5 linked regions of the Macaca fascicularis genome follow. The protein of the gene in region 4 interacts with the protein of the main gene of each other region in a pairwise test. Links are inferred from orthologs where the notes say so. Each region holds a gene or a part of one and is shown on either strand. Other genes may lie near its edges.

The links.
Region 1: the proteins of GOLGA1 (region 4) and ATF4 interact in binary tests that used the Homo sapiens proteins (3 or more experiments, as listed by UniProt). The two-hybrid records come from large-scale screens. The link is inferred for Macaca fascicularis from reciprocal best matches to the Homo sapiens genes GOLGA1 and ATF4.
Region 2: the proteins of GOLGA1 (region 4) and PDCL2 interact in a two-hybrid assay, tested with the Homo sapiens proteins (2 studies listed by BioGRID). The two-hybrid records come from large-scale screens. The link is inferred for Macaca fascicularis from reciprocal best matches to the Homo sapiens genes GOLGA1 and PDCL2.
Region 3: the proteins of GOLGA1 (region 4) and TFIP11 interact in binary tests that used the Homo sapiens proteins (3 or more experiments, as listed by UniProt). The two-hybrid records come from large-scale screens. The link is inferred for Macaca fascicularis from reciprocal best matches to the Homo sapiens genes GOLGA1 and TFIP11.
Region 5: the proteins of GOLGA1 (region 4) and VPS52 interact in binary tests that used the Homo sapiens proteins (3 or more experiments, as listed by UniProt). The two-hybrid records come from large-scale screens. The link is inferred for Macaca fascicularis from reciprocal best matches to the Homo sapiens genes GOLGA1 and VPS52.

The regions. Positions count from the first base shown.
Region 1 is NC_088384.1:12,123,678-12,130,065, reverse strand, and holds ATF4 (cyclic AMP-dependent transcription factor ATF-4), read left to right. Parts: upstream 1-2,791; 5' UTR 2,792-2,984; intron 2,985-3,588; 5' UTR 3,589-3,680; coding exon 3,681-3,906; intron 3,907-4,007; coding exon 4,008-4,837; 3' UTR 4,838-4,922; downstream 4,923-6,388. UniProt on the Homo sapiens protein: Transcription factor that binds the cAMP response element (CRE) (consensus: 5'-GTGACGT[AC][AG]-3') and displays two biological functions, as regulator of metabolic and redox processes under normal cellular conditions, and as master transcription factor during integrated stress response (ISR).
Region 2 is NC_088379.1:78,299,760-78,306,114, reverse strand, and holds the start of PDCL2 (phosducin-like protein 2), read right to left. Parts: upstream 3,520-6,355; 5' UTR 3,398-3,519; coding exon 3,392-3,397; intron 1-3,391. UniProt on the Homo sapiens protein: Essential for male fertility, spermiogenesis and acrosome formation.
Region 3 is NC_088384.1:25,181,990-25,187,855, forward strand, and holds part of TFIP11 (tuftelin-interacting protein 11), read left to right. Parts: intron 1-1,057; coding exon 1,058-1,210; intron 1,211-3,147; coding exon 3,148-3,675; intron 3,676-3,804; coding exon 3,805-3,911; intron 3,912-5,866. UniProt on the Homo sapiens protein: Involved in pre-mRNA splicing, specifically in spliceosome disassembly during late-stage splicing events. Intron turnover seems to proceed through reactions in two lariat-intron associated complexes termed Intron Large (IL) and Intron Small (IS).
Region 4 is NC_088389.1:19,138,633-19,144,498, forward strand, and holds part of GOLGA1 (golgin subfamily A member 1), read left to right. Parts: intron 1-900; coding exon 901-1,070; intron 1,071-1,551; coding exon 1,552-1,663; intron 1,664-5,405; exon of another isoform or gene 5,406-5,406; coding exon of another isoform or gene 5,407-5,866. Other genes in the region: large ribosomal subunit protein uL6-like, read left to right, coding at 5,407-5,866. UniProt on the Homo sapiens protein: Involved in vesicular trafficking at the Golgi apparatus level. Involved in endosome-to-Golgi trafficking. Mechanistically, captures transport vesicles arriving from endosomes via the protein TBC1D23.
Region 5 is NC_088378.1:138,436,788-138,442,653, reverse strand, and holds part of VPS52 (vacuolar protein sorting-associated protein 52 homolog), read right to left. Parts: exon of another isoform or gene 5,752-5,866; intron 5,545-5,751; coding exon 5,389-5,544; intron 3,703-5,388; coding exon 3,584-3,702; intron 3,302-3,583; coding exon 3,178-3,301; intron 2,908-3,177; coding exon 2,812-2,907; intron 2,687-2,811; coding exon 2,579-2,686; intron 2,355-2,578; coding exon 2,289-2,354; intron 1-2,288. UniProt on the Homo sapiens protein: Acts as a component of the GARP complex that is involved in retrograde transport from early and late endosomes to the trans-Golgi network (TGN).

The sequences.
Region 1 (6,388 bases), on a different chromosome or scaffold from region 4:
TAGATGCCACTTACTATAAGTGGCCAGAATACCAGAGATGTGGGTTCCATGGTCAGCTGCACACTAAGTGTTTACCTTTACATTTGGATCACCTTGTAGTCTTTAATTATTGGTCCCTGAGGCCAAGTCCACAGCTTGCCTTCTAGTCACTTGCCTGCCCATCAGTGGTGGTGGATGTGTTAGCTGGTAGATTTGGAATCAGTCACCAGTCTTTCTGTACTGTCTTGGTTAGGTCTGTATAAGTAGAGGCAGCTTAGCCCTGAGACCCAGAGAGCTGCTATCCTTTTTCTCCTTGCGGGAGGAAATAAAACTGGGGAACACAATGTCCTTCCATAGCATAGGAAGAATAAAATAAAAGTCTCCTTTCCACCAGTGTTGACTTGTGTGTGTTGCATGAAACATCTTCCTGTGGGAGTGGTACTGGGTCTCCATTTTCAGCTAGAGTAACCTTTGAAGTGTTTGAGCTAGGTCTCTATAAAAGAATGCATGGGACAGGCTGCCATGAGAGTCATTCTTTCATGACCTTTTCAGTGTCAAAACTGGGGCAGTGTTACTTTAATACTCAACCATTTGCACCATCATCTGTCAGGAGGTACTGTCTATAGCAAAAGGAGAACACGTCCTGTGGGTCCCTAGTTCGTCCTTTGGAAGACATGGCTAATGGCTCAGGGATTCTTACTGCCTCTGCATGGAAAGGCTAGACAACTCCTGTATTTATTATTATTAAGACAGGGTCTTGCCCTGTTGCCCAGGCTGAGTTGCAGTGTTGTGATTACAGCTCACTGCAGCTTGGAATTCCTGGGCTCAAGCAATCCTCCCACCTCTGCCTGAGTAGGTGGGACTACAGGCTGGAGCCACTGCTCCTGGCACCAATTCTGTATATCTCAACACTCATGATTCCCCAAAGAGAAAGAAAAACCATACTTTTATTCCAGCATCCGGTATGCCTTGTGTATACCTGTATACAAGTTTTAAAGTTGTTGGTTTCATCTCATTAAATAATAGTTAAGAGTCCTCTGAGGCAGCAGGAGGATGTGGAGAGTAGCACAGGTCAGGGTCAGGTGACCTGAGTTCTATGAAGGGTAGCAGCAATAGCAACTATTATTGGGTGCTTACATGTACCAGGCGCTATGCTAAGTGCTTTACATGTATGACTTCACTTCATGGGGCAAGGATACTCATCAGTAGTCTCATTTTACAAATGAGGAAACCGAGGCTCAAAGAGGATAAGTCACTTAGCCAAAATGTCCCAGCCAGGATTCTTTTGGGTGAGCTCCCCAAAATCTGTCTTCTAACTCCTACCCTATACTCCCTCCACTGGGAGCTGTGCGACTTTGAGCAAGAAGCTTCATCCCATTGGGCCTCGGTTTACCATTGGAAAGGACTTGTGGGCGAGGTTGAATGAGCGCAGCAGATGGCCTGTGGTTATTTAGAGCAGTGCTTCCCTGGTGGTTTGATACCACAGCGATCATAGAAATACTTGTGTGGCCCGGTGAAATGGAGGCGGAAACAGTTTCTACCTTCACAGGGCCTGACTGGAGGGGGCTGAGGACGATGCGGAGGTTTCCTGTATTAAAACAGACTACCCCCCCTTCCCAACGCACAACCCCGAGCACGTGGCCGTGGGTTCCCAAGCGCCTCTCCTCCCAGGGCCATGGGCATGACCACTGAAAAGCGGGTTAGGCCGGGGAGTTCAGAACCCGGAGTGAATCGAAACTACCCCAGGTAGATGGCAGCGAAGAAAATTCTGTTCTTAGGGGAACGCAATCTTCGGACACCAGAAGTTCCCCTATGATGCTATTCTGTGGCAGCCTCGCACTTGAGCCGGATGAGAATTGTAAAAACCCAGGTTGGGCGACAGGACGGCGCGTCTTCCCGGCTCCTTTCCAGAGTTTAGACGGAGCCATGCAGACTCAGCTGGCCTTTGAGTGTAGGTGGGCAGGCCCGAGGCGCCCTCTCGAGACCCCTTCAACCTCCCGGGGGCAGCAACACCGTGTCGGCTATGAATGGCGTCTCTGGAAAACTCAGGCTTGGAACAGGTAACCCCGCGGTTTCCGCAGGCCAGAAATTAGCCCCCGCAACCGAAGGACGCGCAGGCTGGGAGTGGCGGCGGGGCCGCCAGTGGCGGACCTCCACTGAGGGCGGCGGGACCCGACCGCAGGGGCTGGGCCCTGAGGCCACTATGGGGTGCGCTAGGCTAAGGTCTCCTGGGGGCAGAAGCCAGTGCGATTGTAGCTGGCCAGCAGGCTGGCCGGCCTGAGGCCTGGCAGAGACCCGAGACCCCGACCCTTCCCACGCGGACTCCGTGATCCCTCTCCCAGCAGCCGCCCACCTGGGGCCCTGAGCCAATAAGAGCTCGAGGTATATATGACTCACCGTGCCTGGGCCAATCAACTTGACGCGCGCTTTTCGCCAGCACCTCGCGCGATAACTTGGCGTCCTCGGCCTTCACAATAAAAACTCTCCGCCGGAAAACGACCTCTCCCCGCCCACCGCGCCGACACCGGAAGCGAGGCGTGTCTGCGAGATCACTCCGCGCTCCGGCGGCGAAGGAAAGAACGGACTCTGATCATAGAAGTAAAGTAGTGCACCTCTCTCGTTTCGTGAGGTCATAAGAACAAACACCTTTTCTCGTCACAGCTACGCGCTGGGCATAAACGGTTGGGGCGTCAAAGGGAGGGAAACGAGCGGGCGGGAGGAGATGGTCACGTGGCCGTGGCGGAAGGATGCGTCGGTGCTGCGTCCCCTTAGAGACGAAGTCTATAAAGGGCCGGCGGGCGGCTGTTGCGGCCATTTCTACTTCGTCCGCCCACAAATGTAGTTTGGTTCGCACGTGTGCGCCTTCCCTCCTCCCCGCCCGCAGGGTCCACGGCCACCATGGCGTATTAGGGGCAGCAGTGCCTGCGGCAGCATTGGCCTTTGCAGCGGCGGCAGCAGCACCAGGCTCTGCAGCGGCACCCCCCCCCAGCGGCTTAAGCCATGGCGTGAGTACCAGGGCGGGTCGTCCAGCTGTGCTCCCTGGGCCGGCGCAGGTTTTGGGTTGGTGGGGTGCGGCCTGGGGCCCAGGGCGGTGCCGCCAAGGAGGAAGCGATTTTACGAGCGCCCGGGACGCGTGGTCTTTGCTTGGGTGTCCCCGAGACGCTCGCGTGCCCGGGATCGGGAAGGCGCATTCTGGTGCCAGGACTGCTTCCACAGGGGCCCTGCCGCCCTCGGACCCCGAATCCCCCAAGGGTCCCAGGGGTCTCGGCTTTCCCCCCCCGCGAAACGTGGCAAGAACCAAGATGGCGGCGGCAGGGCGGCGCCGCGGGCGTGAGTCAAGGGCGGGCGGTGGGCGGGGCGCGGCCGCCCTGGCCGTATTTGGACGCGGGGACGGAGCGCCTTCCTCTTGGTGGCCGGTGGAAGAATCGCCTGGTCTCCGTGAGCGTCCATTTTGTGGAACCTGAGCCGCAGCAGGGAGGGGCGGATGCAACTGCCCCGTTGCCGACTCTGTAGATGGCTGGACTAGAGAAGTCCCGCCTCGTAAGTGGAAAGATGAAATTCTCAGACCAGCTAACCTCTAATGGGAGTTGGCTTCTGATTCCCATTCAGGCTTCTCACGGCATTCAGCAGCAGCGTTGCTGTAACCGACAAAGACATCTTCGAATTAAGCACATTCCTCGATTCCAGCAAAGCACCGCAACATGACCGAAATGAGCTTCCTGAGCAGCGAGGTGTTGGTGGGGGACTTGATGTCCCCCTTCGACCAGTCGGGTTTGGGGGCTGAAGAAAGCCTAGGTCTCTTAGATGACTACCTGGAGGTGGCCAAGCACTTCAAACCTCATGGGTTCTCCAGCGACAAGGCTAAGGCGGGCTCCTCCGAATGGCTGGCTGTGGATGGGTTGGTCAGTCCCTCCAACAACGGCAAGGGTGAGTGGGCCACCACCACATCGTCTGGGTGGGATCTAGGGTTAGGGGCCTGTTATCTTTGTATCTGACTCACTTGGCCCTGTCATTCAAATCTTTTGCAGAGGATGCCTTCTCCGGGACAGATTGGATGTTGGAGAAAATGGATTTGAAGGAGTTCGACTTTGATGCCCTGTTGGGTATAGATGACCTGGAAACCATGCCAGATGACCTTTTGACCACGTTGGATGACACGTGTGATCTCTTTGCCCCCCTAGTCCAGGAGACTAACAAGGAGCCCCCCCAGACGGTGAACCCAATTGGCCATCTCCCAGAAAGTTTAACAAAACCCGACCAGGTTGCCCCCTTCACCTTCTTGCAACCTCTTCCCCTTTCCCCAGGGGTCCTGTCCTCCACTCCAGATCATTCCTTTAGTTTAGAGCTGGGCAGTGAAGTGGATATCACTGAAGGAGATAGGAAGCCAGATGCCACTGCTTATGTTGCCATGATCCCTCCGTGCATAAAGGAGGAAGACACCCCCTCAGATAATGATAGTGGCATCTGTATGAGCCCGGAGTCCTATCTGGGCTCTCCTCAGCATAGCCCGTCTACCAGGGGCTCTCCAAATAGGAGCCTCCCATCTCCAGGTGTTCTCTGTGGCTCTGCCCGCCCCAAACCTTACGACCCTCCTGGAGAGAAGATGGTAGAAGCAAAAGTAAAGGGTGAGAAACTGGATAAGAAGCTGAAAAAAATGGAGCAAAACAAGACAGCAGCCACTAGGTACCGCCAGAAGAAGAGGGCGGAGCAGGAGGCCCTCACTGGCGAGTGCAAAGAGCTGGAAAAGAAGAATGAGGCTTTAAAAGAGAGGGCGGATTCCCTGGCCAAGGAGATCCAGTACCTGAAAGATTTGATAGAAGAGGTCCGCAAGGCAAGGGGGAAGAAAAGGGTCCCCTAGTTGAGGGTAGTCAGGAGCGTCAGTGTGCTTGTACATAGAGTCTCTGCTGTTGCTGTGTGTTGGAATAAATTATTTTGTAGGGAAAGTACTTGTGTGGATTCTTTTTCTGGCAAATTAGCCGAGTGAGGCGCCACCCACCCATCCCAAACTGGTCATAACATTCCTTGTGAGATCTGGGGAGGAGGGCAGTCCAGGACTGAAGATGGGTACCCAGAGTGGGAACTGCTCGCCCTGCTAGGTGTAAGCCACGATGCCTGATGACTCATGGGGCCATACAGCCAGATAGTTGGCCAACTGTAGCAAGTTGGGTCCTTTACCCAGAGGTGAGTTCGCTGGTTGTGTAGGGAGGAGGCTGGAGCTCTCTGGGAGGTTGGGAGGGAGGGACAGCCTGGGCCTCCACCTATTTATTCAAGAGGGCTTCATGCCAACAGCTGTCGCCTGAAACCCTGGATAAGCTTGCACAGTCCTTGAGATAAGCACACAAGATTAGTTTTCACTTGTTACCCTGAGTTCTGTAGAAGCGTGTTCCTGAAGAAAGAAATGGCTCCTTTTCGGAATTGATGCTGAAGCAGGACAGGAGCTGAGGGTTGGCCTCCATTTCTCCTTATGGGGTGGAAGGATGACATCCTGCACAGGTTCTGGCTAGAGCTGGGCACAAAGGCGACAGTTCCTGTGAAGGCTGTTGTGCCTGTTGCTACCTAAATAGAAGGCCTGGCATCATGCTAGGATGGATCAGCGCCTAGAAACCACGCCTCCTCACCGCAGCTTCTTCCTGGCGGGGAGACCTCGCCTTTCCAGGCAGGCGATGTCTTTTGTGTTGCGGATGAGTGCTTGAATGCAAGGATCAGCGTATCCTGGGTAGGTCTGTCTTTCCTCTTGTGTCCTTCAGGATCACAGTTTTCCTTCTGTGGAAGGTGGTGTAGACTGGGTGTGCCCGGGGAATGGCTGGGAGGACAGTGAGGGTGAGTGCGCCCAGGCACTGCTGTAACTGAGCACAGTACGTGTGTTCACCCCGTCCCCGAAGCACACCCAGGAGGCAGACGCCACACTCAGGAGGATTTTTTTTTTTTTTTTTTTTTTTTTTTTTTGAGACAGGGTCTCTCCCTGTTGACCAGGCTAGAGTGCAATGGTGCAATCTCGGCTCACCACAACCTCCACCTCCTGGATTCAAACGATTCTCATGCCTCAGCCTCCCGAGTAGCTGGGATTACAGGTGCTCGCCACCATGCCCAGCTAATTTTTGTATTTTTAGTAGAGACGGGGTTTCACCATGTTGGCCAGGCTAGTCTCGAACTCCTGACTTCCTGATCCACCCACCTTGGCCTCCCCAAAGTGCTAGGATTACAAGCATGAGCCACCGCGCCTGGCCTTTTTTTTTTTTTTTTTTTTTTTTTTTTTTTACTTTTTAGAGATTGAGCCTATTCCCCAGGCTGGAGTGCAATGGTGCAATCTTGGCTCACTGCAACCCCTGCCTCCCAGTTTCAAGCGATTCTCCTGCCTCAGCCTCCCGAGTAGCTGGCATTACAGACGACTGCCACCATGCCCAGCTAA
Region 2 (6,355 bases), on a different chromosome or scaffold from region 4:
GGGTTGTCTTTTTGTTGTTGAATTTTAGGAAGTCTTTATATTTTCTGGATATTATTCTCTCATCAAATATATGATCAGCCAATATTTTCTATTCTGTGGGTTGTCTTTTTTTTTTTTTTTTTTTGAGATGAAGTCTCGGTCTATTGCCCAGGATGGAGTACAGTGGAGCAATCTCGGCTCATTGCGAATTCCGTTTCCTGGGTTTAAACGATTCTCCTACCTCAGCCTCCTGAGTAGCTAGGATTACAGATGCCCACCACTACACCCAGCTAATTTTTGTATTTTTAGTAGAGATTGGGTTTCACCATGTTGGCCAGGTTGGTCTCAAACTCCTGACCTCAATGATCCACCTGCCTCAGCCTCCCAAAGTGCTGGGATTACAGGTTTGAGCCACCACACCTCACTACTTATCTTTTCACTCTCTTGATAATGTCCTCTGAAGCAAAAAAAAAAAAAAGCTTTAAATTTGGTAAAGTACAATTTATTTATTTCTTTTGTTACCTGTGCTTTTGGTGTCATAACCAAGAAATTACTGTCAAACTCAATGTCATGAGTCTATCTTATGTTTCCTTTTAAGAGATTTCTACCTTTAGCTATAGGACTTTGATGTAGTTTGAGTAAATTTTTGTATACAGTTATGAAAGAAAAATAAATCTTAGGATCCCCAAATCAGTAAGCCAAGGGAAAAGTCAAGTTGGGAACTATGTCAAGCAAATCTGCCTCTCATTTTATTCCTAAATAAAATAGCTACAAAGACAAAAAGCTACACACCTCCCTCACAATTTGCCCAAAAGGAAATTCCTTGTGGACAAAGGACAGACTGGAACTGAAAATCATCCCTCTCAGACTCACCTGAGACAAATGCATATGTGACTGCTTCCTCTGCTCTGTTGTTTATGTAAAAATGCAGATTCGCTGAGCCAGACTAAATTGTGTATTCAGTGAAAAGCTAATCAAGGACTCAAAAGAATCAAGGACTCTCTTATCTACTTCTGACCTGAAACCCCCTCTTCAACTTGTCCTGCCTTACTATACCAAATCAATGTACATCTTACACATATTGAGAATGATGTCTCCCATCTCCCTAACATATATAAATGCAAGCTGTACCCCAACCACATTGGACGCATGTCATCAGGACCTCTTAACACTGTGTCACGGGTACATCCTTAACGTTGGCAAAATAAACTTTCTAAGTCAACTGAAACCTGTTTCAGATATTTCAGATTCACAAAGTCTAAGATAAGGTTCCAGTTTACCCAGCACCATTTATTGAAAAAAAATTAACTATTGCCCACTTAATGGTCTTAGCACTCTTGTTAAAAATTTTTTGAAAAGATGTGTGGGTTTATTTCAAGGCTTTCTATTCTACTCTTGTCTGTTTTATAGTTTTCAGTATTTATAAGTACAGTTGTTTTTGTTGTTATTGTTGTTGTTGTTTTTTGAGACAGAGTCTCGCTCTGTCGCCCAGGCTGGAGTGCAGTGGCGGCTCACTGCAAGCTCCACCTCCTGGGTTCATGACATTCTCCTGCCTCAGCCTCCCGAGTAGCTGGGACTACAGGTGCCCGCCACCATGCCCAGCTAATTTTTTGTATTTTTTTTTAGTAGAGACAGGGTTTCACCGTGTTAGCCAGGATGGTCTCGATCTCCTGACTTGTGATCCACCCGCCTCGGCCTCCCAGAGTGCTGGGATTACAGGCACTGTGCCTGGCCAGTCTGGTTGTTTTATAACCTATTTCTGACCATTCTGTTATCTAAAAATCTCTGTAACTCTGTTTTTCTTGGTTCATGGTCTCACGGTGGCTTATTTCCTTGTGTGCTTGGTTACCTTTCACTGATTTCTGCTTTCTGTCCTCGAAAACTTATTGATGGGAATTCCTTAAAGCCTACACTAAACACATCTTCCTCTATAGAGGATTTATATTTTTTTTCTTCTAGGTATTTGAGGGCACTATAATATATAACGAATTCACAGTTTAAGGTTGCTGGACTACCCAACAATACGACTCAGGTTACAAATCCATATGAGAGCTGTCTTGGGCCGAAATGTTTTTTGACGGGGTTTAATCCTTTTCATTTTCTCCTCTGTTCCACTAAGCACCAAGATATCCTTCCCTAAATTCTCCTAGACATGCGTTTACCGCCAGTTCACCCTCCTACTCATCTCCCATCCTTTGATGAACCAAACCCTTTGGTTCCACCTCAAATAATTTTCTATCATTCTGACTTCTTAGCTGGGACAGACTCCTGTAATAAAAGACAGATTAACAAGAGAAAAATCCTGTTTATTAGTATGTATACTTCATGGATACATTGGAGATACCAGGGAAAATGAGTGTATCTCAAAGAGGTTGCTTAGAATTCAGACTTAAATAACATGTTTAGCTGGAAAAAAAAAAAAGGGTATGTGGGAAGCAAGTGATGGGGAGGAAACCAGGAAAAGCAGAGTGTATTAAAAGTAAGCTTTGCTAGCCAGGCATTGTAGTCCCAGCTCTTTGTCCCATTATCCCAAGATTATAGGTTGGGTCCCAACTCAAGCCTGTAATCCCAGCACTTTGAGAGGCCAAAGCAGGCAGATCTTTTGAGGTCAGGAGTCCGAGACTAGCCTGGCGAACGTGTTGAAACCCTGTGTCTACTAAAAATACAAAAAGTGGCCAGGCGTGGTGGTGCACTCCTGTAGCATATATAAATGCAAGCTGTACTCCAACCACGTTGGACGCATGTCATCAGGACCTCTTAAGGCTGTGTCATGGGTACATCCTTAACCTTGGCAAAATAAACTTTCTAAGTCAACTGAAACCTGTTTCAGATATTTCAGATTCACAAAGTCTAAGATAAGGTTCCAACTTCATTCTTTTGCATGTGGATATCCAGTTTACCCAGCACAATTTATTGAAAAAAAAAATTAACTGTTGCCCATTTAATGGTCTTAGCACTCTTGTTAAAAACTTTTTGAAAAGATGTGTGGGTTTATTTCAAGGCTTTCTATTCTACAAAAACTAGTAGGTTTTCTGTTCTTATCATTTTTTAAGGTAGTGGAGGAGGACAAATTGAATTACACTTGGGCTAACGTTGCTGGTCTATTTCTTAAGTCAAAAATAGTATGCAGCAGTAAGATTTCTATGATTCTGGTGTGAAATACAATACGCAGCAACTCTTTTAACGTTTTCTCCAGCGACAGACACAAGTCTTAAAGGCTGAAAAAATGGCGTTTTCCTAGAGGATTTTTCTCAAAACTAGACAGAGAAGCACGCAAAATTTAGCACTTTTCAAGAACAAATGTTAGAGCCTAATTCCTGTGTTCGCCCTCCCCATTTGTGTCTCTTGGCTTCGGGCCCAGCTGGAGACCCACTGGGTGTTCCAGGGTCGCCCGGCGAGTCCCTACCCTCACCTGCATGATGTGCTGCTCTGCCCCTCAAGAGCCCGCGTCGTCCTGTAGCTGGCGAGGCGCCACGGATTGAGACCCGCAGCCTCCTCCAGGCAGGAAGCGCGCCCGCTTCAGGCCCGGCGGTTTCCAGTGCCCGCCGGAAGAGGCAGAGGCGAACAAGGACTTGTTACGCTTGTGCGGACGAGGTAGCTTGGTTGCCAGGCAATGCAGAGGCCTAACACAGGGGATGGTCGTGGGTACTGACGCCCCAGAGCCTGGAGCCTCTGTCCCAAGCACTGCCTTTCCCGTTCGCTGTGTGGTGCTGGTGTGGACATTCCTGTCAACTTTTCCCTCCATCACCACCACTGAATCAACCGATTGTTTCAGAGCCTCTGGCACCCTTCAAACCGAGTCCTGTCTTCATGGAGAAATAACAAACTCCTGGAACGGAGAACCTTTATTCAGAGGAGGCATTCTTAACCTGGAATCCATAGACTATATATATTTTTTTGTTTTGAGACAGGGTCTTACTCTGTCGCACCGGCTGGAGTGAAGTGGTGCAAACACTGCTCACTGCAGCCTCCACCTCCAAGGCTCAAGCAATCCTCCTGTATAAGCGTCCCAAGTAGCTGGGATCACAGATGCATGTGCCATCATACCCAGATAATTTTTTTTAAATTTTTTTTGTAGAGACAGGGGTCTCACATGTTGCCTAGGCTGGTTTCAAATTCCTGGGCTCAAGTGATCCTCCCACTTCAGTCTCCCAAAGTGCTGGGATTACAGGCATGAGCCACCACACTTAGCCCATACAACATATTTGGATAGACTTTATGGAGTATCTTGCTCCCCAGTCCCCAAGTGTACACATAATTTTGTTGTAGGTGTACATTTTTTTTTTTTCTGAAGTTAAGAACCAGAGCTTTCATTAGATGCTTAAATGGGACTGTAGGCCCCCCAATTCCATCTTAAAAATCCACTGCCTTAAGTGACAGAAGCTCTGGCTTTAGGCCAGGCACGGTGGCACACGCCTGCAATCCCAGCTCTTTGGGAGGCTGAGGCAGGCAGATCACTTGAGCTCAGGAGTTCAAGACCAGCCTGGCCAACATGGTGAAACTTCCATCTCTACTAAAAATACAAAAACTAACGGGATGTGGCGGGTGCCTGTAATCCCAGCTACCCAGGAGGCAGAGGTTGCAGTGAGCCAAGTTCACACCACTGCACTCCAGCCTGAGTGACAGAGTGAGATCTGTCTAAACTGAGGGGAAAAAATAAAAAAATAAATAAAGCTCTGGCTTTAGGTAGGATATCTAGACAGGTGGGGGTTCCTTTGTGTTTAAATTAAGGAAAGGATGTTTACTGGGAGCTGCCAGGAACTTGAGGAAAACACTTGGTGTTTTACACAAGTTGTTTTACACAGTTCCAGAGATGTACTCACAGGACTTGGAAAGAAAAAAAAATGTTTTTAATGACATAACTTTAAACTTGGGTTCAGCATGGGACCAGTCCATCTGTAGTGCCCAGCGGGTACTTGATACAAATCTTATACTCCTAGTAGCCCATATATTCTGTTGTGTTTGCATATGAGACATGAATTTGTTAAATATAAATAATTAAAAACATATCACAATTTTTGTAATAATGTCTTGGTATTTTCCTCATCTTCTTCCTCTTCCTCTTTCTTCTTCTTCTTCATCCCCGGAGCCCTAAAAATGTTACCTATATCTCTCTGGATTTCTGAGAGGCCCTGGGAACTGCTGATTAAATTAACATTCTTTTCTTGTTCTGACAATCCAAAGTCCAGGTTAGTTGAAGTACTGTGCACAGAACTAGCTAATGCAGCCCCATGCATTTGTGGCTTTAGGGCAGCATGCTCTCCTTGCTCTCAAGTCCCCATCTTATCAAGGCATTTTTATTTTCCTAAAAATAATGTATGTTTTTCTCTTCTTCTTCTTCTTATGTTCTTCACTCAGGCTGACAGGAAGTGAAATTCAGGAACTTTGTTAGTAAAAGGTGTAACTTAAGCTATAATAATTGCTCAACATTAGGAAGACAAAGGTTTGTTAGATACTCTGCTCTGAAGAATATCTGTGTAGACCTAATTCTACCTACTCAAAAGAGCCACTGCTTTCTAATCAGTCAGCAACCTTCTTGATGGAGGAGGTGGGAACCTAAGACAGAGGTCAGAAGAAAAAAGATCAAGGGAACCTGAGAGGAGATAAATTCAACCTCCATCTGAAGTTAATTCTGTGCCCACTAAACATTGATTTGATGTTAAAAGTTCCCAATTGTGTTCATGATCCTCTATTAATAAGATTATTTTCTTTCTGCTAATAGACAGAACTGCTTGCCTTTCAGATGTTGTGAGGTGAAGTAACTTATTTTAGGATAAACTGAATACTATGAATTGGTAGAAAAAGTTGGTCCTCTGATATATTTGTAGCAATCAGATATCCATTACACAGTTTATAAATCAGAACTTGATTATTGGACTATTGGATGGGTTATGGCCCAAGCCTCCAACTAGTATAGTTTCAGTTGGTGCTCACATTCTAAGATTGGTAGCTACTGGGCATTCTGGTATTTATGAGAGCTGGTGTTTTGTCACTGACAAAATCCAAATACGATAAACTAATACAGCTCATTAAAACTCAACTCTCAACTCTCTATGAGTGCCTTTAATGAAAACATCAAAAATGCATGTGGGCAGGGTACGGTGACTCATGCCTGTAATCCCAGCACTTTGGGAGGCCAAGGCGGGTGGATAACCTGAGGTCAAGAGTTCGAGACCAGCTTGGCCAACATGGCAAAACCCCGTCTTTACTAAAAATACAAAAAAAAAAAAAAAATTAGCTGGGCATGGTGGTGCATGTCTGTAATCCCAGCTAGTCGGGAGACTGAGGTAGAAGAATTGCTTGAACCCAAGAGACAGAGGTTGCAGTGAACCAAGATTGCACCACTGCACTCCAGCCTGGGTAACAGAGCAAGACT
Region 3 (5,866 bases), on a different chromosome or scaffold from region 4:
GCAGCTGTGTGTCCCTTTTCCCCAGTGATAGAAGGGGCCAGCTTTGTTGATTGAAGTATTACTCTTTTCCCATTTGAATCTATGGGGGAAAGCAGGATGCTGCAAAGAAACACGTTACTCTTCTTGTCACTGACCTTTTGATGACACAGTCATTTGATAATGTGGGATTGACCGCTCTGAGTCAGGGGTTCTCAGACTTAGAAGCCTACAGGTGCCAGGCACACCACAGAAGCAAGTAAGATGAGCCAGATGCTAGACAATAAAGAGTGGTGGGGACTGTGGCACAGAGGTGAGGCCTTAGCCTGTCTAGAAGGTAAATCTTTATTCAGCTCTAGGTGATTGTTGCTTATGAGGATGTGGGCTTAGTATTGCCTGATCCTCTGATTTTCCCAAAGTAGCCAGATGTGTAGATACTTTTAGAGAAAAAAATGACAAGTCTTAACCAGTATGAGAAAAACATAATGACAACTCCAAAACCAACTTCTGTGGGCTGGATTCCACTACCATCATGCTAAGAAAGTTTACAAATTTGCGTTGGGCCGCATTCAAAGCCGTCCTGGGCTGCGGGTTGGACAAGCTTGCCGTAGCTCCTCCTGTAGCTACGGCAGGTACATTTTGCAGACCCTGATTATAAGAGATACCTTTGCTTTGAGAGTTAGGACCTGCTTATTTATCTTCATTTTAAAGTGAGAAACAAGATATTGTGTACTTAAAAAATCGTTTACATTGCATTTCTAAGTTTTACATGAGGTACATTTAAACTAGTATAGTGCCTGCCCATAGTAGATGCTCAATACATGTTGTTTCCTTTATTTTTGTTTCTCCCTCCCGTCTGGTGCACCTGCCTTCTGAACCTCATTATTTGTAAGAGGGTAAATGGGGTCAAGGAGTTATCATTAGATAGTTTTGGTGTCATGCAGGTGCATCCTTTCCTTCCTTCATATAGAACCTGGAAATAAATCTAAGACAGTGAATGGTGACATCTGTTAATGGTCTTAGCTGTCTCACCTGTTGTAAAAAGTGGTTTGCTGCATCTGACTGTATCCTTCTGGTTCAGGAGTTTCAGAAGGAGCTGAGCCAGTGGAGGAAAGACCCAAGTGGAAGCAAGAAGAAGCCCAAATACTCTTACAAGACCGTGGAAGAGTTGAAGGCCAAGGGCAGGATTAGCAAGAAGCTCACTGCTCCCCAGAAGGAGCTTTCTCAAGTCAAGGTATGGGGACCTTTGGACACTTGGTACAGGAGCCACACCCCAGAATTAATCACTGAACATGTTCTAGGGTTTTTTGGATCTTCTAGGTAGGCTTTTTTTTTTTTCTTATACCTTGCTTTTCTCACTTATTTTATAGGAGTGTAATGAATACTATTAATATCATGTTCCTATTCATTACACTCCCATATTTAGTAATAGTTACCAAGTTCCTTCTCTGCCAGGCACTCTTCACGGCACTACACTGGTAAACCAAATGATGTTCCTGTGTTTCTGGAGCTTACATCAGTGAATTCAGTAACATTCTTATTATTAAAAACTCACTGTGAAGATTTATAATGAGTGCAGAATTCTAGAGGGTGGCTGTCCTATATTGCTTGATCCTACCTCCGTTGTTAGGCATTTAGCTTTTATCTGGTTTAGTTTGGATTTTTGACTGGTTAGTTTGTATATAAAACTTCGTCTTTGTTTGAGACATTTTTTTAAGGATAGAGATGTACATGTGCAATCACCATGTTAAATACAAAAGTACTTAAGGCATTCAAATACTCAGAAGGTTGTATTAACTCTGTCTGACCAGGAGGGCAGGAGAGAGTTCCCAGGGCTCCTTAGTCAGCATTGAGTATTTTCTTTTTTTAAGATACATTCAATTTTCACTCACTGTTACGTGCATATAGTGTATTACGTTTTCCATTACTTTTCCAAGTAGTCAAAGAACAATGGTGACAGTTGCCTGTTGTCATTTGCTGTAGGATATATAGTGTGTCATAGACCTCAAAGCCTTTAGTGGGGTTCTCAAACGTGTGCTGTTATATTATCTGGACGACCTGATAAGAAATACGGGCGTCTAGGTGCCTCCCAGGAATTTTGAGTCTAAACTGAACCTCAAGACTTTTTTTTTTTTTCCTCCTCCAGTGATTCTAATGCTGGTGGTTCATGGATCACACACTTACTTAAAAAGTGGTGATGAATCATTCTGCTTCAGAAGTGCAGTCCATATTCACATTTCCTGTTTTCCTAAAATATTGGAATTAGCTCATTGCCTAGGTTGCCTTTGTTCAATTAGCCTTTTGTATGTTTTATTTTGTTTTAAAATTAAAAGCCTGGGCGCGGTGGCTCACACCTGTAATTCCAGCACTTTGGGAGGCCAAGGCGGATGGATCAGGAGGTCAGGAGATCGAGACCTTCCTGGCTAACACAGTGAAACCCCGTCTCTACTAAAAATACAAAAAATTAGCCGGGCGTGGTGGCGGGCGCCTGTAGTCCCAGCTATTCGGGAGGCTGAGGCAGGAGAATGGCATGAACCCGGGAGGCGGAGCTTGCAGTGAGCTGAGATCGTGCCACTGTACTCCAGCCTGGGCACCAGAGCAAGACTGCATCTCAAAAAATAAAGTTTAAAAAATTAAATTAAAAAAACAACTGTTATTATAATAGCAGTGTGTAGTACATTTTAGAAAGTTAGGAAATGGGGAGAAATATAGGAAATATTTTCCATCCTTCCAAGATTACCAAATGTTAACATCTTGTTATACATCCTAGATCTTTTTCTATGCTTATGTGCATTTTTTAAATCAAAATGTGATATTCTGATTGTGTTACCTTCTTTGATCAGTACAGCTTCTACCTTTCCATTAAAATAAATTTTCACATCTACTAATACTCAGTCCCTATTTAAATTTCATGTTTCCCTAAAAAGTCTTCTCCATCTGGCTTGCTCAAAGTGATCCAACCTAGAACTGCTTGCTGCATCTGATTTTGTCCCTGGAGTCTCCTTTAGGCTAGGACAGTGCGGATCCCACTTTACAACACTGCCCTTCTCCAGCTCTGTTGAATAATGTGGTTTCTACACACTTCCCTGTCATGGGGCCTTCCCCTGGGCTTAGCTGTGTGTTTAACAGTGCCGCAGTGGTGTTAACCTTCGTCCTTCTACGTTTTCCAAGGTCATAGACATGACAGGCCGGGAGCAAAAGGTCTACTACAGCTACAGTCAGATCAGCCACAAGCACAACGTTCCCGATGATGGGCTGCCGCTGCAGTCCCAACAGCTGCCACAGTCTGGCAAAGAGGCCAAGGCCCCAGGCTTTGCGCTGCCCGAGCTGGAGCACAACCTGCAGCTGCTCATTGACCTCACGGAGCAGGAGATCATCCAGAATGACCGGCAGCTACAGTATGAGCGGGACATGGTGGTCAACCTCTTCCACGAGCTGGAGAAGATGACCGAGGTCCTGGACCATGAGGAGCGGGTCATCTCCAACCTCAGCAAGGTCCTGGAGATGGTGGAGGAGTGCGAGCGGCGGATGCAGCCCGACTGCAGCAACCCCCTCACCCTGGACGAGTGTGCCCGCATCTTCGAAACCCTGCAGGACAAGTACTATGAGGAGTACAGGATGTCCGACCGTGTGGACCTCGCCGTGGCCATCGTCTATCCACTCATGAAGGAGTACTTCAAGGAGTGGGATCCCCTCAAAGTGAGTTGTTGGGAAAATCAACTTATCCCTGCCTCTTGGTTGGGCTTACCCTTGCTTGATGAGTTGGTCCAGTGGGCAGGGAGGGCTGGAAAGCCTGCTGCCCCTCAGCTACTCTGCCTTTCTCCTCAGGACTGCACTTACGGCACCGAGATAATCTCCAAGTGGAAAAGCCTCCTGGAGAATGACCAGCTCTTGTCTCACGGCGGACAGGACCTCTCGGCAGATGCCTTTCACAGGTACCACAGGGCAGGGCTCTGTGCTCCAGCTCCTTTCTGCTGGGGGGTTGGGAAGGACTGCTGAAGGTGGGGGAAGGCAGCAGTGCTAGCCTTGATTAATTCTCTGCTCATGCTGATACCGCTTTAGGAATTTAAATTCATTTGGCCATGAATTTATTTTATTTTTTATTTTATTTTTTTTGAAATGTTTTATTTCCACAGGGTTTTGGGGAACAAGTAGTATTTGGTTACATGAGTAAGTTCTTTGGTGGTGATTCGTGAGATTTTGGTGTACCCATCTCCTGAGCAGTATACATTGAACCCAATTTGTAGTCTTTTTTTTGTGAGACGGAGTTTTACTCTTTCGCCACGCTAGAGTGCAGTGGTGTGATCTCAGCTCACTACAACCTCCAGCTGCCTGGTTCAAGCAATTCTGCCTCAGCCTCCCGAGTAGCTGGGATCACAGGCACGCACCACCACACCCAGCTAATGTTTGTATTTTTAGTAGAGACAGGGTTTCACCATGTTGGCCAGGATGATCTCCATCCCCTGATCTCGTGATCCACCCGCCTTGGCCTCCCAAAGTGCTGGGATTACAGGCGTGAGCCACCGTGCCTGGCTTAATTTGTAGTCTTTTATCCCGCACCCCGTTCACCCTTTCCCCAAGTCCCCAAAGTCCATTGTGTCATTCTTACGCCTTTGCATCCTCATAGCTTAGCTTCCGCTTATGAGTGAAAACACAAGATGTTTGGTTTTCCATTCTTGAGTTACTTCACTTAGAATAGTAGTCTCCAATTCCAACCAGGTTGCTGCGAATGCCATTAATTCATTCCTTTTTATGGCTGAGTCATATTCCATTATATATATATGTACCAGTTTCTTTATCTACTTGTTGATTGGTGGGCATTTGGGTTGGTTCCACATTTTTGCAGTTGTGAATTGTGCTACTGTAAACTTGTGTGAGCAAATATCTTTTTCATAAAATGACTTCTTTTGTGTTTTTTTTTTTGAGATGAAGTCTCGCTTTGTCGCCAGGCTGGAGTACAGTGGCGTGATCTTGGCTCACTGCAACCTCTGCCTCCGGGGTTCAAGCAATTCTCCTGCCTCAGCCTCCCAAGTAGCTGGGACTACGGGCATGCACCACCACGCCCAGCTAACTTTTGTATTTTTAGTAGACACAGGGTTTCACCATGATGGCCAGGATAGTCTCAATCTCTTGACCTCATGATCCGCCTGCCTTGGCCTCCCAAAGTGCTGGGTTTACAGGCGTGAGCCACCGCACCCAGCCATGACTTCTTTTCTTCTGGGTAGATACCCAGTAGTGGGATTGCTGGATCAAATGGTGGTTGTACTTTTAGTTTTCTAAGGAATCTCCACACTGTTTTCCATAGTGGTTGTACAATTACATTTGGCCATGAATTCAGCTGACACTTGTCAAATGTCTGTTGAATATCATGCTTGTGCTAGGTGCTGGGCTTACCCTAGTACAGCAGACAGCCTCTGTCTTTAGTACAGCAGAAAAGGCAGATGGGAAATAAGGTAGTGAACAAATAAAGGCAGGATGCACACCAGGTACAGCGATAGAAAACTGCAGGAGCGACCTCCTTGGAATGGGGGTTAGGACAGAGGTCTTAGAGGAGGTGACATTGAAACTGTGATCAGAGGGTGAGAGATGTCAGCTCATGAATAGAAGCCTATAGGTGGGAAAGCACTTGATACCTAGGAAGAGACCCTTGTGACCCTAAAGCAGCTCTGCCAGGTGGGCGGGCACTGCCTACGAGACCAAGGCCTCAGTTCGAGAGGAGAGTCACGAGAACAAGGAAGAAGCAGGCTCAGGTCTGGCCAGCATGGTGACTGGCCTGATGGTTTCCTCTGATCGGATTTCCATGCTGTTGCATTTTTATTTCTGATTCTAGAGAGGTGGGCGGTGGTGGTGTTCTTTGAAACCAATCAGTGTAATTAACCAGCCTGTCCTC
Region 4 (5,866 bases):
TTAAATAGATGGAGTCTCACGGTGTTGCCCAGGCTGGAGTATAATAGCTACTCACAGGTGTGATCATAGCACACTGCAGCCTTAAACTCGTGGGCTCAAGCTCTCCTCCCACTTTAGCCTCCCAAATAACTGGGACTGTAAGCTTTTACTATAGGTGTGTGCCACCACGCCTGACAAGTTTAGATTTTTTTTTCTTTTTTCTTTTTTTTTTTTTTTTTGTGTGTGTGTGTGTGTGTGTGTGTGTCACCTAGGCTGGAGTGCAGTGGCATGATGGTGGCTCACTGCCGCCTTGACCTCCAGGGCTCAAGGGATTCTTCCACCTAAGCCTCCCGAGTAGCTGGAACTACAGGCACACTACCATTCCCGGCTAATTTTTGTATTTTTTGTAGAGATGATGTTTCACCATGTTACCCAGGCTGGTCTCAAACTCCTGGGCTCAAACGATATGCATGCCTCAGCATCCCAATATGGTGGGATTACAGGCATGAGCCACTGTACCCAGCCCAGATTTGTTTTTAAGTGTATTTTTCTTTTTTAATTTTTTTTTTGTTTTTGAGACAGAGCCTGGCTCTGTCACCCAGGCTGGAGTGCAGTGGCATGATCTTGGCTAATTGCAACCTCCACCTCTGAGGTTCAAGTGATTCTCCCGCCTCAGCCTCCCAAGTAGCTGGGATTACAGGCACCCGCCACCATGCCCGGCTAATTTTTGTGTTTTTAGTAGAGACAGGGTTTTGCCATGTTAGCCATGGCGAACAGTTAGCTGGTCTCAAACTCCTGACCTCAAGTGATCCACCCGCCTCGGCCTCCCAGAGTGTTGGGATTACAGGTGTGAGCCACCTGCCCGGTCTTAAATGTATTTTTCTTAGCATAGCCCAATGAAACTTTGTATTTTTGTGTCAGCTTTTAAAAAAAGAAGAAAGTCTAGGGAAAATGGAGCAAGAATTGGAGGCACGAACCAGAGAACTTAGTCGTACCCAGGAGGAGTTGATGAACTCCAACCAGATGTCATCAGACTTAAGCCAGAAGCTAGAAGAATTGCAGAGACACTACTCAACGCTGGAAGAGCAGAGGTTCTTGCTTGGTCTGTGGGGCCCTTGGGAAGAGGTGTTAGTGTAGTTCTGGCTATAGCCTGCTCACCTTTCCCCGTTGTTCATTACACCATTTTCTGATTCCAGTGCTGGCAAAGGCTTCTGGACACATACTTACCTGCCTAGGACTTAGGCCCCACCCTACCTCCAACCCACTTTCCCCTTCAGCTGCTGAAACTCAGGACAGTTCCAGCCCTGCTGAGCAATTCAATGTGGTTTTAGTTTGTAAGGTATTATAGACTAAGGAGAGGCAGGTCAGGATTTCTTTCTTAAACTAGGATGGACTTTTTCTCCTTGGGCTCCTGCTTCAGAGAGAGCTGAGGCTTTTCCCATTGAAAACTGCATGTGGCTGATGATGCTTGTAGCCCTGACATAGAAAGAACCATTTGTATTTTTCCTACAGAAGACTGTATATTAGATGAGATATCCAAATTTGTTCATTGTCTGCTTTCTTTTGATGAAGAGATCATGTGATAGCTTCAAAAACAGGTGCAGAAAGTAAGATCACAACCCTGGAACAAAAGGAACAAGAGCTCCAAGCACTCATTCAGCAGCTTTCCATTGATTTGCAAAAGGTAAGTAGAGTATGAGGAGAAGACCTGGATTTCTAAGATTCATAAAAACTAGTTCTTTCAGATATTTCTGCCTAAGAGTGACTACTGAACATATATTTCTCATGCAGTCCACATGGCTCCATTTCTTATTCTAGCCAGGCTGCACTCAGATGGAAATGGCCATACAATTGCTTAGCAGAAGTAGTCAGTATTTTCCCATCAGGAATTCTTATACCATTTGGTCAACTCAAATATGTCTCTTTTTTTTTCTTTTTTTTTAAGACGGAGTCTTGCTCTTACTGCTCAGGGATTACAGGCGCCCGCCACTACACCTGGCTAATTTTTGTATTTTTAGTAAAGACGGGGTTTTACCATGTTGGCCAGGCTGGTCTCAAACTCCTGACCTCGTGATCCACCCACCTCGGCCTCCCAAAGTGCTGAGATTACAGGCATGAGCCACTGTACCTGGCCTGACTCAAATATATCTTTAAGCACATAATGGACCTTGAGCATGAAAAATATAACAATAGTGGCTGACATGACCAGGGCTGTACCTTTGACATACTTGGCTGTAATCCAGTTTGTTCTATGGCACATAATCAAATGATGTCATTACAATTTGTTTTTTCATTTCATTGACATACATTTGTTTTCTTTCTACATTAGGGCTGTGCTAAACTCTGAGAATATAAAGATGAAGAATAATATTACTGAATATAAAGTAGTGTTTCTTAGGCCCAGCACTGTGACTCAAGCCTGTAGTCCTAGCACTTTGGTAGATCAAGGCAGGAGGATCACATGAGGTCCTCCTCTTGACCCCATCTCTACCAAAAAAAAAAAAAATTAGCCAGTGTGGTATGTGCACCTGTAGTTCCAGCCGTTTGGGATCATGAGGTGGGAGGATCGCTTAAGCCCAGGAATTCAAGGCTGCAGTGGGCTAGGAACATATCACAGCACTCCAGCCCAGGCAACAGAGCAAGACTGTCTTTAAATATAAAAATAAGGCTGGGTGTGGTGGCATGTGCCTGTAATTCCAGCTACTTGGGAGGCTGAGCAGGAGTTTGAGTTAAACCTGGGAGGTGGAAGTTGCAAGTCAGCTGAGATTGCACCACTGCGTTGCAGCCTGTCTAGGTGACAGAGAGAGACTCTGTCTCAAAAAAATAATAATAAATAAATAGAAATAAAATAAAGTAGTATTTCCCAATGGCATATTTCTTATTGGCATTTTGAGTAGAACAACTTGTATTGTATGATCGTCCATTGCATTGCAGGACATTTAGCATTCCTGGCCTCTGGGTTCTGAATGCCAATAGCATCCTTTAGTCACTGACATCCAGCCCTTCCCCTCACATCACAGAACCACCCCCCTGTTGGGCAGTGCCATCCACCCTACCCTCATCTTTTGAGAAATGCTGATCTCAAGTGAGACAGAGCCTTAGAGCATAATTACAGTACAGTAAGATTTTGTCAATAGAGGTCTGTATACCCCTTCTAGCTAAGTATTATCATACTTACAGATATCTAAGTGGAAACTAAGAGAGGTTATTGACCTTGTTCACAATTATACAGTAAGTGACAGAGTTGGATTCTAACCCAAGTCTTATTCCAAAACTCATGCTTATTCTATTGCACTTTGCTGCCTCACAATAAGGAGCACCCAGTAAATATATATATGAATGAATGACTGTGATACAAGCTTTCTACCCTCAACGAACTAAAAATCTCAGTACAGATGTTGTTTTCCTTCAGAGGCTTACAGTTTCATTATAGAACTCAAACCTATTGTAATCACAAGAAAAGAAATGCTCAAACAAGAAGTCTCATGTAAATGAACTAGATTTTTCTTTTCCTTTTTTTTTGAGACACGGTCTTGCTCTTTCACCCAGGCTGGAGTGCAGTGGCATGAACGTCTCACTGTAGCCTCAGCCTCCCAGGCTGAAGTGATCCTTCCACCTCAGCCTCCCAAGTAGCTGGGACTACAGACACACACCACTACAACAGGCTAATTTTTATTATTATTATTATTTGTAGAGATGGGGTTTTGCTACGTTGCCCAGGCTAGTCTCAAACTCCTGGGCTCAAGCAGTCCACCCGCCTCAGCCTCCCAAAGTGCTGGGATTACAGAGGGGAACCACCACACTCAACCCTAGATTTTTCAAATACAAAATATATGCCATAGGGGAAGTACATTCCAGCCCAGGAGTCAAGGAAATCTTCCTAGAGGAACTGGAATGTCAAGGATCAGGAGGACAACAGGAGGCAGAAAAGGCAGAAGGTTAGAGAGTACATTTGGGGTCGTGGAAGAAGGGGGACAACAGACACACAACTTTGGTTTTTGTATTTTGTTTTTTTCTGAGACAGGGTTTCACTTTGTCACCCAGGCTGGAGTGCAGTGGCGTGATGTTGGCTCACTGCAACCTCCACCTCCTGGGCTCAAGCAATCCTTCCGTCTCAGCCTCCTGAATAGTAGGGACTACAGGCACATGTAACCATGCCCAGCTAATTTTTGTATTTTTATTAGAGACAGGATTTTACCATGTTGGCCAGGCTGGACTTGAACTCCTGGCCTCAAGTGATCTGCCTACCTTGGCCCTCAAAGTGCTGGGATTATAGGCACCTGGCCACAACTTTGATATTCAAGGGACCCTTTGATGTCAATTAGAACCATCTGTTGTTTTTATAATTGGAAAAATGGGGCTCAGGGAAGTCCAGAGTGTGGTCACAGTAAGTTTCTTCATTCATGCTAGAAAGATTAGTTAAGCCTTACTATGTGCTGGGCTCTGTGCTGGGTGTTCATAATATTGTGGTGAGCAAAATAGATACAGTTCTTGCCTTTGTAATGCTTATAGTCTAGAAGGGAAGTCAGACATTAATCAGTAATCACATATATAATTACTAACTGTGATGAGTGTTCCGAAAGAAAACTACGAGATGTTGTGAGATCCTATTAAAAGATATCAGATCAGATCCAGTCTTGGAGCTGTAGAACACTTAAGGAAGTAACACTTGATGCAGTGCTCAGGCTGGAGAGAAAGGGATAATGAGAGAGAATTTCAGGCAGGGAACAGCATGAACAAAAACTCTGAGGCAAATAAAAGTATTAGCACATTCAAGGAACTAGAAGAAAGCCAGTGACATACAGAATAAGAGAGAATAACAGATTACTCTGGCCATTAGGAGACTGAGAGGGTCTTCCACTTAGGAAGCTTTTGCAGTTGTTCGACCATAAGATGATGGAGGCTTTGACAAGTGTGGTGGTGAAGATAATAGTGGGTAGACAAATGTAAGAAATATTGACAGACTTACTAATATAACAGATATGGGAGGAGAGGAAGACAAAAGTCTGTATTTTTATGGGTGATTTATTGGCTTCTGGCTTGGGCAACAGATGGGCTGGTATTGTGTGAAGATTGTTAATTTGGAATTCACTTTTTTCTTGTCTTTACTGAGTATATATAAAATCATATTTATAAAATATGAGTACGATAGAAAGTATAACAAGGCAATGAGCCCTCTGAGCTATCCCTCAGGTTAAGAAAAAGAACAATGTGTTTATCTTTGAGGTTCCCTCTGTGCCCTTCACTATTCCATCCCATTCCTTTTTCCTTTGGAAGTAAGTACTATCCAGAGATTGCTTCATTGTCTGCTTTGCTTTCTAATGTTGTCAGTTTTATCCCTAAACAATATCTTCTTTAGTTTTCCATGCTTATTAATGTTGTATAAATGAAGTCATTCTGGCTTTTTTTGCTGCATCTACTGTGAGAATGAAGACCATTCTCAGCAATCAGACTGTCGACATTCCAGAAACTGTTGACATTACTCTGAAGGGACGCACAGTTATCGTGAAGGGCCCCAGAGGAACCCTGCGGAGGGACTTCAATCACATCAATGTAGAACTCAGTCTTCTTGGAAAGAAAAAAAAGAGGCTTTGGGTTGACAAATGGTGGGGTAACAGAAAGGAACTGGCTACCATTCGGACTCTTTGTAGTCATGTACAGAACATGATCAAGGGTGTTACACTGGGCTTCCGTTACAAGATGAGGTCTGTGTATGCTCACTTCCCCATCAACGTCGTTATCCAGGAGCATGGGTCTCTTGTTGAAATCCGAAATTTCTTGGGTGAAAAATACATCCGCAGGGTTCGGATGAGACCAGGTGTTGCTTGTTCAGTATCTCAAGCCCAGAAAGATGAATTAATCCTTGAAGGAAATGACATTGAACTTG
Region 5 (5,866 bases), on a different chromosome or scaffold from region 4:
GAAAGAGATAGTCTCTTCAATAAATGGTGCTGGGAAAACTGGCTATCCATTACACAGAAGAATGAAACTATACCCCTATCTCTCGCCACATATGAAAACCAATTCAAATGGATTAAAAACTTAAATCTAAGACCAAACTATGAAACTACTACAAGAAAACACTGGGGAAAATCTCCAAGACATTGGTCTGGGCAAAAATTTCTTGAGCCATACCCCACAAGCACAGGCAACCAAAGCAAAAATGGCCAAATGGGATCACATCAAATTAAAAAGCTTCTGCACAGCTGGGCACGGTGGCTCACACTGTAATCCCAGCACTTCGGGAGATGGAGGTGGGCGGATCACCTGAGGTCAGGAGTTTGAGACCAGCCTGACCAACATGGTGAAACCCCATCCCTACTAAAAATACAAAATTAGCCAGGCATGGTGGCACATACCTGTAATCCCAGCTACTTGGGACGCTGAGGCAGGAAAATTGCTTGAACCTAGGAGGCGGAGGTTGCGGTGAGCCAAGATCGCACCATCGCACTCCAGCCTGGGCAACAAGAGCTAAACTCCGTGTCAAAAAAAAAAAAAAAAGCTTCTGCACACACAGCGAAAGAAATAACAAAGTGAAGAGACAACGAATATTTGCAAACTACCCATCTGCCAAGGGATTCATAACCAGCATATATAAGGGGCTCAAACAACACTACATGACAAAGTCTAATAATCCTATTAAAAAATGGGCAAAAGATTTGAATAGACATTTTTCAAAAGAATACAAATGGCAAACAGGCATATATGAAAAGGGGCTCACCATCACTATCATCAAAGAAATGCAAATTAAAACTACAGTGAGATCTCATCTCACTCTACTCAGAATGGCTTTTATCCGAAAGACAGGCAATAACAATGCTGGCAAGGATGTGGAGAAAAGGGAACCCTTATACACTGTTGGTGGGAATGTAAATTAGTACAAACACTTTGGAGAACAGTTTGAAGGTTGCTCAGAAAACTAAAAGTAGAGCTACCATAGGATCCAGCAATCCCACTGCTGGATATATACCCAAAAGAAAGGACATCAATACATTGAAGAGGTATCTGCACTCCCATGTTTGTTGCAGTATTGTTCACAATAGCTAAGATTTGGAAGCAACCTAAGTGTCCATCAGCAGATGAATGGGTAAAGAAAACGTGGGACATGTACACAATGGAGCACTATTCAGCCATAAAAAATAATGAGACTCAGTCATTTGCAACAACATGCATAGAATTGGAGATCATTATATTAAGTGAAGTAAGCCAGGCACAGAAAGACAAATGTCATGTGTTCTCACTTATTTGTGGGATCTAAAAATCAAAACAATTGAACTCATGTACTCATGTACGAAGAGAGTAGGATGGCTACCAGAGGCTGGGAAGGCTAGTGGAAGGCTGGGGATGATTAATGGGTACAAACAAAAATAGGAAGAATTAATAAGACCTACTATTTGACAGCACAACAGGGTGACTATAGTCAATTATAACTTAATTGTACATTTTAAAATAACTTAGAGTGTAACTGGATTGTTTATAACACAAAGGATAAGTGCTTGAGGGGATGGATAAAGAAAAAAATAAAATTCATTCTAAAAATAGAAAATGGCCGGGCGCGGTGGCTCACGCCTGTAATCCCAGCACTTTGGGAGGCCGAGGCGGGCGGATCACAAGGTCAGGAGATCGAGACCACGGTGAAACCCCGTCTCTACTAAAAATACAAAAAATTAGCCGGGCGCGGTGGCGGGCGCCTGTAGTCCCAGCTACTCAGGAGGCTGAGGCAGGAGAATGGCGTGAACCCAGGAGGCGGAGCTTGCAGTGAGCCGAGATTGCGCCACTGCACTCCAGCCTGGGCGACAGAGCGAGACTCCGTCTCAAAAAAAAAACAAAAAAAAAAAAAAAATTGAAAATTAGCTAGGCGTGGTGGCTCATGCCTGTGGTCCCAGCTACCCAGGGGCTAAGGTGGGAGGATCGCTTAAGCCCAGGCTGTCGAGGCTGCAGTAAGCCATGTTCATGCCACTGCACTGCAGCCTGGGTGACACAGCGAGACTCTGCCTCAAAAAAGGAAAAAAAAAAAAAAAAGCAAAACCAAAGACAAAATAAAATAAAGTAGACCAATAATGACAGTATGTTGTGGATCAAGAGTTACAGTAATTCCATGTACCTGAGGTCCATTATGCCACTCCCTACACACACACACACACACACAAACACACAGGAGCTGAAAACAGCACACAAAGCTGTCCCTTCCCTTTTCCCCACACCCCTACCTGTGTCCGAGCATTGAGCAGCTGCTGGAAGCTCTCAACCTCTTTGCTGTCATCTGCAGCCCGCTCCTAAGGGAAGACAAAGGGAAATGTCAAGTTTGGGGAAAGCAGTCCTTCACTTCAGGATGTCCCCTTCATTCCACACTTATTGTACTAAGCTGGACACTGTGCCAGACTCCAAGAGTAAAACGCTGAACAAGACAGGCATCGTCTCTGCCCTCACAGAGCTAACAAAGCAGTGGGGGAAACCCAATTTTCTGGGTAGGAAGACAAGGAGAAGGAGCACCTATTACCATCAGCACACCCAGCATCATGTCATAGTTGTTGATCAGAAACACAAGCTGCTCCTTCCTTGAGGAGAACTCGGCTGCCACTCGAAGGACAAAATTCTCCACCTCCACCTGAAAAGGCAGAGAAGAGGTGACACCAGAAAGCAAGGCCATCAGGCCCCCCTCTGGCTCCTCCTCAGCCTCCACCCACTGGCAGCAGCCCTGCTGCTGGTAAGTCTCTCCTGTCTGACCCTTACCTGCAGCTGTCCCAGCAACTGCATGGTCCGTTCATTGGGAATTGTCTGGTTGATGCTGACAAGAGCGGAGGAGAACTCTGCGTAGCGGCGTGTGATCTAGGACAGAGTGGGAAGGAAAATCACACCCACCTCCTGGCCCAACCACCACCACCTCCCAACTCCCTTGGTCAACCCGCCACCATGTGATGTGACTCTACCTCCAGTCCCTCCTACCCACAGTGCACCACTCACCATGAGTTTTATCACCCTCCCAGAATGCCTGCTCAGAGCGTGGCCCATGACACAACTGTGACCGTGGCCAACCCCCACAATGATGCTTAGAGCCCTGCCTTTCAAGAACCCTTTGTTACCCTTGCCCTCCCTCACATAGTGGGGCCGAGTATCCAACCCCCCTAGGCGCTGGGGGTCAGTGCTTCGGACGCTCTGGACATTCATCTCCAGGATCAGCTCAAACCGTGGCCATAGCAAGGCAAGCACCTGTTCCCAGTACCTGTGGGCTTAATCAGAATCTGAGGTCAGCCGGCAAGGAATGTTGGAGAGGGATGGGGGGGAGTGGGGCACCATTCAGTTTAATGGTCAACAGTTAGTTGTGGGGATGGGGGGGCAGTGGTTGGAGAAAGGTGAGTCAAAAAGCAGCAGTACTGCCTCTGGAGCAAATCAATGGGAATAAAGGTTAATGATACCAGGTCAGTAGAAGTCTAAGGTCAGGGCAGAGTCATGCAAGACCAAGAGTTTGTGGCCTGTTGGGCATCAAGGACCAGAATTCAGTGACCTGTCCAGAGCAGGAACATCCCTCTTTGCTGCAATGTTACGGAACCGGAGAACAATGTGGATACAAAGAAAAACAGCAATGGCATCGTAGCAGTCAGCGAGATAGGACTCCAGGTGTTTCTATGTGATTGGGGAACAAGCAGAGGATTAAAAGAGAATGTCAGTTTGTTTTCCTCAGTGACTATGAACAAACGCATGTGTTTCTTTGGGGATGATGCACTGGATAGGACAGAAGGGAGAGATGTAAAATGCAACTGCCCCCTGCTTTCCTGTCCACTGCCACCCGGGTGGTCCTACTGCCTTACCCACCAGGATCTATGTTTTTGGCTTTTTTTGTTGTTGTTTTTTTGAGATGGAGTTTCGCTCTTGTCGCCCTTGTCGCCTAAGCTGGAATGCAGTGGCGCAATCGCAGCTCACTGCAACCTCCGCCTGCCTCCCAGGTTCAAGCGATTCTCCTGCCTTAGACTCCTGAGTAGCTGGAATTACAGGCGCCTGCCACCACGCCTGACTAATTTTTGTATTTTTAGTAAAGATGGGGTTTCACCATGTTGGCCAAGCTGGTCTCGAACTCCTGACCTCAGGTGATCCGCCCACCTCAGCCTCCTAAAGTGCTGGGATTACAGGTGTGAGCCACTGCGCCCGGCGTTTTTGACTTTAGAGACAGGTTCTTGCTTTGTCACCTAGGCTAGATTGCAATGGTACAATCACAGTTCACTGCAGCCTCAAACATCTGGGCTCAAGTGATGTTCCCACCTCAGCCTGCCAAGTAGCTGGGACCATGGGTGTGTACCACCATGCCTGGCTTATTTTTAAATTTTTTGTCAAGACAAGGTCTTGCCATGTTGCCCAGGCTGGTCTTGAACTCCTGGCCTCAAGCAATCTTCCTGCCTTGGTCTCCCAAAGTACCGGGATTACAGGTGTAAACCACTGCACCTGGCTGCAGCAGGATCTACGATCACAAGCCTATCACAGCAGAGTTCCAGGCTGAGCTTGGGTCAGGGGTTTGGAGGACCCTCAGTTTTCACGTGCTATTGCCTGATTCTGATTGTGGGGCAGCAGCAGGGGGAGTCTCAGGGACCCTACACTCTGAGGATTTCATGGGAAGTAACACTGTGACAAGTCTAAGTAACAAGGCTTAGACTTTTTTTTTTTTGAGATGGAGTCTTGCTCTGTCACCCAGGCTGGAGTGCAGTGGCACAGTCTTGGCTCACTGCAACCTCCTCCTCCTAGGTTCAAGCAATTCTCCTGCCTCGGCCTCCTGATTAGCTAGGATTACAGGCTGCGCACGCCCGACTAATTTTGTATTTTTAGTGGAGATGGGGTTTCACCATGTTGGTCAGGCTGGTCTCGAACTCACAGATCCTCCCGCCTCAGCCTCCCAAAATGCTGGGATTACAGGTGTGAGCCACTGTGCCCAGCTTTTCTTTTTTTTGTTTTAAGAGATAGGTCTCACTCTGGAGTGCATGGCTCACTGCAGCCTTGACCTCCTGGGCTCAAGCAATCCTTCCACCTCAGCATCTCAAGTAGCTACGACCACAGGCATACATCAACACACAGCTGGCTAATTTTTTATTTTTCATAGACAGGCCAGGCTGGTCTCAAACTCCTGAGCTCAGGCAATCCTACTGCCTCAGACTCCCAAAATGCTGGGATTATGGGCGTGCGCTACCATGCCCAGCCAAGGCTTAGACATTTTAGAATGAGGATCCTGATTGATTTCAGTTCTACCAGAGTCATGACCCCACTATGCTGCTGATGAAGACTGGGGACAAAGGTGTTGAATAGTACAGGAAATAGGAATCTTACCAGGGTCATGCTGAGTGTACGGCCCATGACAGCATGGAACAGGTCATGTGCAGCCGGGCCAGACACAACAAAAAATTCACAGATGAAAAGGTATTCGCGGCAGGAATTGTCTAGGAGGGCGTAGTGCTGGCTGCGGAAGAGGGCCTCAAATGGATACTGGGAGAGGAGAAGTAAAGAAGAAACACAGAAGGGATGGACCCCAACACTGACTTCCCATGGATATGGCTGCAAAATCAGTAAACCTGGGTAATAAGAGCTGGGCAGACCCTTGGCATCCATCTAGGTCCAGGCTGTCAAAGAGCAAGCTGAATGGGCACTGAAAAGGTGGGGGAACATAGGGGTACAAAAAGGGCCTACACCCACCTGCTGTTGCTACTCCTGCATCCACCTCAACACCTGCCTCTGACCGTCATTCCCCTCATCCAGTCTCTCCCCTCTGCATGCCCTTAAGTCAATGGTTCCCAGCTCTTTTCACATC